Macaca fascicularis: one gene and its partners. The protein of the gene in region 1 purifies or fractionates together with the protein of each later gene. This does not show direct contact. Links are inferred from orthologs where the notes say so. Each region holds a gene or a part of one and is shown in the gene's direction. Other genes may lie near its edges.

The links.
Region 2: the proteins of tubulin alpha-1A chain (region 1) and TXNDC9 purify together in Homo sapiens (affinity purification with mass spectrometry; 3 studies listed by BioGRID and IntAct, counting the BioPlex papers as one, with this or other methods). This does not show direct contact. The link is inferred for Macaca fascicularis from reciprocal best matches to the Homo sapiens genes TUBA1A and TXNDC9.
Region 3: the proteins of tubulin alpha-1A chain (region 1) and DNAJA1 purify together in Homo sapiens (affinity purification with mass spectrometry; 3 studies listed by BioGRID and IntAct, with this or other methods). This does not show direct contact. The link is inferred for Macaca fascicularis from reciprocal best matches to the Homo sapiens genes TUBA1A and DNAJA1.

What each region holds. Positions count from the first base shown.
Region 1 is NC_088385.1:55,999,714-56,001,889, reverse strand, and holds the end of tubulin alpha-1A chain, read left to right. Parts: intron 1-6; coding exon 7-155; intron 156-472; coding exon 473-1,453; 3' UTR 1,454-1,664; downstream 1,665-2,176. UniProt on the Homo sapiens protein: Tubulin is the major constituent of microtubules, a cylinder consisting of laterally associated linear protofilaments composed of alpha- and beta-tubulin heterodimers.
Region 2 is NC_088387.1:3,825,446-3,829,104, reverse strand, and holds part of TXNDC9 (thioredoxin domain-containing protein 9), read left to right. Parts: intron 1-142; 5' UTR 143-174; coding exon 175-363; intron 364-3,659. UniProt on the Homo sapiens protein: Significantly diminishes the chaperonin TCP1 complex ATPase activity, thus negatively impacts protein folding, including that of actin or tubulin.
Region 3 is NC_088389.1:66,045,962-66,049,620, reverse strand, and holds part of DNAJA1 (dnaJ homolog subfamily A member 1), read left to right. Parts: intron 1-2,765; coding exon 2,766-2,880; intron 2,881-3,659.

The sequences.
Region 1 (2,176 bases):
CTCCAGATGAAGTTCGCACTGGCACCTACCGCCAGCTCTTCCACCCTGAGCAGCTCATCACAGGCAAGGAAGATGCTGCCAATAACTATGCCCGAGGGCACTACACCATTGGCAAGGAGATCATTGACCTTGTGTTGGACCGAATTCGTAAGCTGGTATGTTTCTTTTCAAGAATAAAGTAAATTAATGAGCCTAAAGAACACATTTGAAATACTGCTTTTTTTTTTTTTCAAACAGAATTGAACTGTTATTTTAATAAAGAGTGGAATGAGTCGTTCTTGTGGGGTTTTTATCAGTTAAAATGAACTATTTGGTATCATTTTGTAAATGTTAATGAGAATTTTTTAAAAAGCATTTGTCAAAATAAGATCTAAATCCTGGGAGATGTATGAAAAGTGAAAATATATTTCCTATGATTGTACTACAAAGAACAAAAACTTAACCTTTCCTCTGTTTCTCTCTTTTGTAATAGGCTGACCAGTGCACCGGTCTTCAGGGCTTCTTGGTTTTCCACAGCTTTGGTGGGGGAACTGGTTCTGGGTTCACCTCCCTGCTCATGGAACGTCTCTCAGTTGATTATGGCAAGAAGTCCAAGCTGGAGTTCTCCATTTACCCAGCGCCCCAGGTTTCCACAGCTGTAGTTGAGCCCTACAACTCCATCCTCACCACCCACACCACCCTGGAGCACTCTGATTGTGCCTTCATGGTAGACAATGAGGCCATCTATGACATCTGTCGTAGAAACCTTGATATTGAGCGTCCAACCTATACTAACCTGAATAGGTTAATAGGTCAAATTGTGTCCTCCATCACTGCTTCCCTGAGATTTGATGGAGCCCTGAATGTTGACCTGACAGAATTCCAGACCAACCTGGTGCCCTACCCCCGCATCCACTTCCCTCTGGCCACATACGCCCCTGTCATCTCTGCTGAGAAAGCCTACCATGAACAGCTTTCTGTAGCAGAGATCACCAATGCTTGCTTTGAGCCAGCCAACCAGATGGTGAAATGTGACCCTCGCCATGGTAAATACATGGCTTGCTGCCTGTTGTACCGTGGTGATGTGGTTCCCAAAGATGTCAATGCTGCCATTGCCACCATCAAGACCAAGCGTACCATCCAGTTTGTGGATTGGTGCCCCACTGGCTTCAAGGTTGGCATCAACTACCAGCCTCCCACTGTGGTGCCTGGTGGAGACCTGGCCAAGGTTCAGAGAGCTGTGTGCATGCTGAGCAACACCACAGCCATTGCTGAGGCCTGGGCTCGCCTGGACCACAAGTTTGACCTGATGTATGCCAAGCGTGCCTTTGTTCACTGGTATGTGGGTGAGGGGATGGAGGAAGGCGAGTTTTCAGAGGCCCGTGAAGACATGGCTGCCCTTGAGAAGGATTATGAGGAGGTTGGTGTGGATTCTGTTGAAGGAGAGGGTGAGGAAGAAGGAGAGGAATACTAAAGTTAAAATGTCACAAAGGTGCTGCTTTTACAGGGAAGCTTATTCTGTTTTAAACGTTGAAAAGTTGTGGTCTGCTCAGTTAATTTGTATGTAGCAGTGTATGCTCTTATATACAATTACTGACCTATGCTCTAAAACATGAATGCTTTGTTACAGACCCAAGCTGTCCATTTCTGTGATGGGTTTTGAATAAAGTATTCCCTGTCTTAAATGAATTCAGTCCTGTGTTTTCTATCTGGGTGTCTGAAATTTTATTTAGTGCATTGAGAATAAAGAATAAGTGTTGCCTGTGGTTTATACATATCCTATGACGTGACGTTTGTGTTTTAAAGTATCTTAGGAATTTAAAACTTTTATTTGTGAAACATAAAATGTATATCTAAAGATTACCATCACAGAGCATCACGTACTTTTTTTCTTTTTTTTTTTTTTGTGAGATGGAGTCTTGCTCTGTTGCCCAGGCTGGAGTGCAGTGGTGTGATCTGGGCTCACTGCAACCTCCATCTCCTGGGTTCAAGAGCTTCTCCTGCCTCAGCCTCCCAAGTAGCTGGGATTATAGGCATCCACCACCAATCTAATTTTTGTATTTTTAGTGGAGACTGGGTTTCACCATGATGGTCAGGCTGGTCTCAAACTCCTGACTTCCAGTGATCCGCTCGCCTCGGCCTCCCAAAGTGCTGGGATTACAGGTGTGAACCACTGTTCCCGGCTCATACTATTCTT
Region 2 (3,659 bases), on another chromosome or scaffold:
CTTGCAGTGAGCCGAGATCGCGCCACTGCACTCCAGCCAGGGGGACAGAGCGAGACTCCATCTCAAAAAAAAAAAGAAAATGGTAGAGAAAAGCTGGCTTATTGTTTGCATTTTTTAAAATATAGTTTGTAAATCTCCCCAGCACCCAGGCTGAACTTTGCACCATTCGGCAGAATGGAAGCTGATGCATCTGTTGACATGTTTTCCAAAGTCCTGGAGAATCAGCTGCTTCAGACAACCAAACTAGTGGAAGAACATTTGGATTCTGAAATTCAAAAACTGGATCAGATGGATGAGGATGAATTGGAACGCCTGAAAGAAAAGAGACTTGAGGCCCTAAGGAAAGCTCAACAGCAGAAACAAGTAACCTCTCTGCTCTGCTTTCTGAAATTGCTATAACAGTATGCGCCTAACAACTTATATATCCATGTGCCGTAGTAGTTACATTTCATTCTTTGTTTTTAGGGTTTTGGGAATTTAGAGTACCTATTACTGTTAAAATTTTGCCCAGAAAAAAATATATTTTAAAGACACATTCAAAATTAGCCCAATCTCTATGTGAATCCACAGTCGAGTAAAAGAAAGATCTGCCCAAGATCGTTTTTCTGAGCTTGGATTTGTGTGGTTGAATGGAGGGCAAGGGAGTCATTGGTTTTCATTTCAGGTAATGTTAAAGCCTATCAAAATTTAGCTATTTTCAAAGCAAACAAGATAAGACAGGTGAGATAATAGCTATTAAGTCAGTTTATGTTGAAAAAATTATTTCAGGCATTTCCAATGAAATATTTAATTAGTGGCATGTTCAAAAGAATGCATGCTTTGTAACAAAGAAAGGTGGTCACAGCTCTATCCTCGTTGCCCCTTAGAATGTTTGTGTAGAATAAACACAGAGTTGTAAACTCGGATTGAAACCAACGGATTAAATTCTGTAAATTGAATTTTTTTTCTTGTTTTTGAGCTAGAGTCTCGCTGTGACACCCCGGCTGGAGTGCAATGGTGTCATCTCGACTCACTGCAACTTCCGCTTCCCGGGTTCAAGCAATTCTCCTGCCTCAGTCACCCGAGTAGCTGGGACTACAGGTGCACATCACACACCCGGCTAATTTTTGTATTTTTAGTAGAGACGGGGTTTCACCATATTGGCCAGACTGCCCTGGAATTTCTGACCTCAAGTAATCCACCAACCTTAGCCTCCCAGGTTGGCGATGGAATTACAAGCGTGAGCCACCGCACCCGGCCAAATTCTGTAAATTGAATTTTGATTAAAACATTTTTCCATTGGGTTGCATGGAAATACATTATCACCAACTCTGGTTCCTTTTCAGTTGCCTGTGACTTAAACATGAGGCTTAACTTTTCTGAAGAAATAGAGAGTTTTGACTGGGCATGGTGGCTCACATCCGTAATCCCAACACTTTGGGAGGCCAAGGCGGGCAGGCAACCTGAGGTTGGGAGTTCAAGACCAGCCTGGCCAACATGGTGAAACCCTGTCTCTACTAAAAATACAAAAATTAGCCAGGTGTGGTGGCATGTGCCTGTAGTCCCAGCTACTCAGGAGGCTGAGACAAGAGAATCTCTTGGACTTGGGAGGTGGAGGTTGCAGTGAGTTGAGATTATGCTACTGCACTCCAGCCTGGACGATAAAGCAAGACCCAGTTCCCCCACAAAAAAAAAAAAAAAAAAAAAGAGAAGGAGTTTTGTTTGTATTGCTGTAGCATCACTTTATATGTTTACACCCTCATGTTTAGAAGAGTTGATATGTTTAGAAGAGTTACTACAAAAGGAAATCTTTTATGAATGAGTCCAAATTTTTACATTTTGAGTTTTCTAAAGTAGAGTATGTTATATGGCTTTTACATGTACCCTATTTTAGAAAATAGACTGCTTTTCTTTTTCTTTTTCTTTTTTATTTTTTGAGAGGGAGTCTCAGTCTATTGCCTATCCTGCCTTGACCTCCCAAGTAGCTGAGATTACAGGTGCCCACCACCATGCCCAGCTAATTTTTGTGTTTTAGTGGAGACAGGGTTTCACCATGCTGGTCAGGCTGGTCTCGAACTCTGACCTCAAGTGATCCGCCTGCCTCGGCCTCCCAAAGTGCTGGGATTACAGGCATGAGCCACCCCACACCAGGCCCAATTGGCTCCTTTTCATAGTATAGGGCTGATAATTAGTGTGCAGAGGACAGATTATTGGAATTTAAGGTAATATATGTTTAGGTTCTACCACAAACTCGTATTTCATGGTCACATTTAAGTACTAATTGCTAATGTGCAACTACAAATAATTATTTGTAACTAGGATATTTTTGCAGAGAGACTGAATTCACCGGATTCGCAGTGATGAACATACATTAAATCATGTCTTACAGGAACTTTTTTGGCAGTTCAAAACGGTGGTCTGAGTATTTATAATTAAAACCAACTAAGGCAAACCGGCTATAGGCCTTTTTTTATTAATGTATAAATCAATGTAAAATGAATTTGTCATCGAGTAATTCAGAAGGTCTTATTTTAGAACTTTCATTGCATTTCAGTAGATCTTTTTTATTAAAATGCTTTCTGGAAATAGGCAAGAAACCTAGTGATTTGTGTAGATATTCTTTTTATAAGAGATGATACAGTAATTAGATGATACAGTAATTTTGATTTTCTGATCTTTGAGGGTATTGGGGAGATCAGCACTTAATAGGCCTAGGCGAATCTATATTCTCCTGTCAGCCAAGCACCCTCCTACTGTTAACTAGAGCTGGCGCACTTAGGTAGGGACCAGAACAGAGGGATAAGGTGAGAAATAGGAGTTAAGCAGAGGCTTGGGTGGCAGCCACTGAGAGAGCTGTAACCCCAGCACTTTTGGAGGGCAAGGTGGGAGGATTGCTTAAACCTAGGAGTTTGAGATCAGCCTGGCAATATAGTAAAACACCGTCTCTACCAAAAAAAAAAAAAAAAAAAATTAACCAGGCATGGTGTGGCGTGTGCCAGTGGTCCCAACTCCTTGGGAGACTGACGTAGATGGATCTCTTGATCCCAGGAGGTTGAGGCTGCAGTGAGCTATGACCATGCCACCGCCGCACTTCATCCTGGGCAACTTTAGTGAGACCCATTCTCAAAAAACAAACAAACAAAAAACTTTTTGGCCAGGCATGGTGGATCACAATAAACCCAGCACTTTGGGAAGCTGAGGCAGGCGGATCACAAGGTCAAGAAATCGAGACCATCCTGGCCAACATGGTGAAACTCCGTCTCTACTAAAAATACAAAAATTAGCTGGGCATGGTGGCGCCTGCCTGTAGTCCCAGCTACTGGGGAGACAGAAGCAGAATTGCTTGAACCCGGGAGGTGGAGGTTGCAGTGAGCCGAGATTGCACCACGGCACTCCAGCCTGGCGATAGAGTGAAACTGTCTCAAAAAAAAAAAAAAAAAGGCATGATCTGTCCGTCTTGGCCTCCCTAAGTGCTGGGATTACAGGCTTGAGCCACCGCGCCTGGCCCACTTAAAATTATTATCAGCGTGACAGTAATTATTTCCCTCCAGTATTGTGATATAGCTACGATATTGGGAACAGGCAACAGCTGTTGAGAATCGTGTTCCTTCAGTCCCTACTTGAAGGAACTAAAAAAAAAAAAAAAAAAAGTGGTTTTTTTGTTTTTAAATTCATTACAA
Region 3 (3,659 bases), on another chromosome or scaffold:
CAGGTAGCTGGGACTACAGGTGTGTGCCACCATACCTGACCTGGACTTGTTTAAATAAACGTATTGGCCCACTTAATTGGCTTACTTGCCCATCTGTTGTATTTAAATGCTCCGTTAATTGATTTGAAAGAATTTAGACTACTTTTCCTTTTTTTTAGACTTGACACTTCTCTACCTGTTGGGCTCCAGATTTAGAAATAAATATATAACCTTTTTTTTTTTTTTTTTTTTTTTTTTGAGACAGAGTCTCGCTCTGTCGCCCGGGCTGGAGTGCAGTGGCCGGATCTCAGCTCACTGCAAGCTCCGCCTCCCGGGTTCACGCCATTCTCCTGCCTCAGCCTCCCGAGTAGCTGGGACTACAGGCGCCCACCACCGCGCCCGGCTAATTTTTTGTATTTTTTAGTAGAGACGGGGTTTCACCGTGTTAACCAGGATGGTCTCGATCTCCTGACCTCGTGATCCGCCCGTCTCGGCCTCCCAAAGTGCTGGGATTACAGGCTTGAGCCACCGCGCCCAGCCAATATATAACCTTTTTTTGGGGGGGTGGGGGGGATTTGATTTGTCAGTTTTTAAATTTTACTCTTGTCAACTTACAAAAACCTTTTAAAATGTATTACGGCAGTACATTGCAGAAATTTTAAGAAATGTATGTAACCCCAGAAGGAAACTTAAATCAACATTATGGTAATCTGTTTTCAGATTTTGCTGTTTTTAAATGGGTCTGCTATTATACTGTACTATGGTATGATACCAATCTGGAACTGTTAATATACAAATCTACATTAACATAAGTGGCTGCAATAGGATTCTATCATGTGACTCATTATACTGGCCTCTCTGACCCCCAGGGTTTTCCACCCAAGAATGTAGTACATTGAAAGGTAAAAATAAGTTTTCTTGGCCAGCTGTTGAACTTAATGTGTTTCCCGCTTAGTGGGCCCATGCCTGGGGTTTATACTTTGAGGTGTTCTTGATACCAGTAGCTTATAGAGTAAGTCTTAACGTTGTTGATAGGTTCTTGGAAACTGAGACTTCTAGCAGAATGACCTCGAATAATGTCATGCAGGTCCTCAAATAATGTCATGTCACTGTAACACAGCCGAGGGGGAAAGAACCTATCAACAGTGAACTCTAAGTGAGAACTTGAAATTAATGCCCTCAGCAAGTGAAGGCATTAGTGCTATGCCTACCCTTGCTCTTCATTCAGGAAAACCTAGCTGAGTTTGCTTCCCTAGCTAGCATAACAAGTTATTTTGCCTCAATACACGATTAAAGACAGATTGTTTAATTTTGTCAGTGTATGATAATGATAGTGCTTTTAAGTCCTTATTTAAGAGGTACATACTGAAGTATTTGTGGGTTAATGGATGTGGTTGGAGTTTACTTGAAAGTATATGTGGGGGCCATGGGTAGGGGTATAATACATGAAATATTAGTCATGAGTTAGAAACTGCTGAAGCTAAATTGGATGGATATGTAGGAATTCATTGTATTGTTGGCTCTTTTTATACAGGATTAATATTTTCCATACTAAAAGGGGAAACACGATTGTTCTGTTAGGTAACCAGAGTGATCTTGGGAAATAATCAGGAGATAACTGCTTCAGTGTAACACTCTACAAACACAGGTTTTCTTACATGAGTTACGTTGTAAGAGTTGTTGTCCAAACCCTTACTGAACTAAAATATGTGGGTCAGAGGTGAGGGGTAGGGAAGTCTCAGTAAAAAAAAAAAAAAAAAAAAAAAAACATGTTTAAGAATTTTTTGCCCTGTTAGAAAATACTCCTCTCCCTGTGTTTTATGGACCACATGGGCTAAGGGAGGGTCTAGCGCTGATTGTTTTGTTTGCTTGTTTTAATTTAAATGACGCAAGGGCTGAACTCCTGCGCTCCAGGGTGCTGTCCTCAGGGTATCCTCCTGACTCTGCCTCCCAAAAGGTAGTTACCGTTTTTTTAAGGGGACTATACTGAATAGTTCTTAAAAAATATGGATTTTCAGGCACCGGCTCAGGTCTGTAATCGTAACACTATAGGAGGCTGAGACAGGAGGATCCCTTGAGCCCAGTAGTTCAAGACTAGCCTGAGCGACATGAGAACCCCTGTCTCTATTTAAAAAAAAAATTTTTTTAAAGCTGGTCCCCAGCTACTCGGGAGGCTGAGGTGGGAGGATCACTTGAGCCCAGGAGATGGAGGCTGCAGTGAGCCATGTTTGTGCCACTGCACTCCAGCCTAGACAACAGAACAGAGCAAGATCCTATCTCAAGAAAAGATAGATTTAAAATTTTTTGTTTTATATATAAATACTACAATAGAGAGAAGGGTTTTGATTTACATTGCTGTTAGACTTAATAGAAGTAATTTGATGTGTTGTAAGTAATGAAATTGAAATAGTTAATATTTTTTGGTTATAACCAGTGTTTGCCAGTCATGGTTTAGTACCAGCATATACCTGTTTAGTTAATACTCTCAACATTGCTAATGAGGTGTAGGTGTCTGTGGGAAAGTTGAAACTTGGAAAGGATATGCAGCTTCCCCAGGGTAATCCAGCCAGTGAATAGCAGCTCTGAGATTTGAAGGCTGGTCTCTTTGCCTCTAGAGTTTGTGTTCTCCACTGTGATATCTTTTTTCAGGAGCAAATTGGACTGAACTACTTAAGTGGGCTTTCTTAGTCATTTCTGTGATTTTTACACATAAACATTTATGTATACATTGTATGATTCTGACCTTAGTTGGATATTTAATAAGAGTATAAAACTAATGTTTTTAGGCATGAAAGATGGCCAGAAGATAACATTCCATGGTGAAGGAGACCAAGAACCAGGATTGGAGCCAGGCGATATTATCATTGTGTTAGATCAGAAGGACCATGCTGTTTTTACTCGGTAAAGACTTTTATCAGCCACTCAAACTGATGTCTTACATATTTGGGTTGTTGGTTTTGGTTTGTTTTTTTGTTTGTTTTTTTTAAAGTGTTTTCCATTACTTTTGAAACCTATTTCCTGGAAAAAGATTGTTAACCATTGTTTGGATCGTAAGAAGTTGAATACATAGGATCAGATTTTTAGCTTTTTGTCTCTAAGTATGGAACGTTGAAAATGTGTTTTAATTAGATGTTTTGTGTGAACCTAAATAGCAGATGGCTGGGGAAAACATCCCTGGAGAAAAATTTTGCCCTCCATCTTTGTAAAACAATTTAAGTGCCTTAAAACTCGCAGCAGTTTTCAATCCCAAGTTTATGATAAAGTTGAATTGCTTTTAATTGTAAATACCCAAAAGCATCTCTGTAGGAAACTTAAATTGGAACAATACTAAGTATAAATTCAGGTCTACCGTTTTGAACTAAATAATGAGTATGATGAACACTGAAGCACAAGAAAAATTGATGATTAACAGCACATGTTTATATCAAATATGTCCATGGCTAACATAACAGACTCTCTGTGCATGCTATATTCCCAGCAACTTGGGAGGCTGAGGTGGGAGGATCACTTGAGGCCAGGAGTCCTAGCTACTGGGGAGGCCGAGGCAGGAGAGTGGCTTGAACTCAGGAGTTCAAGGTTATGATCATGCCACTGCATTCTAGCCTGGGTGACAGTAAGAGCCCATCTTTCTTTTTTTTTAAACGGACTGGAGGTGAAATTGGGAGCATCTTAACTGGTTT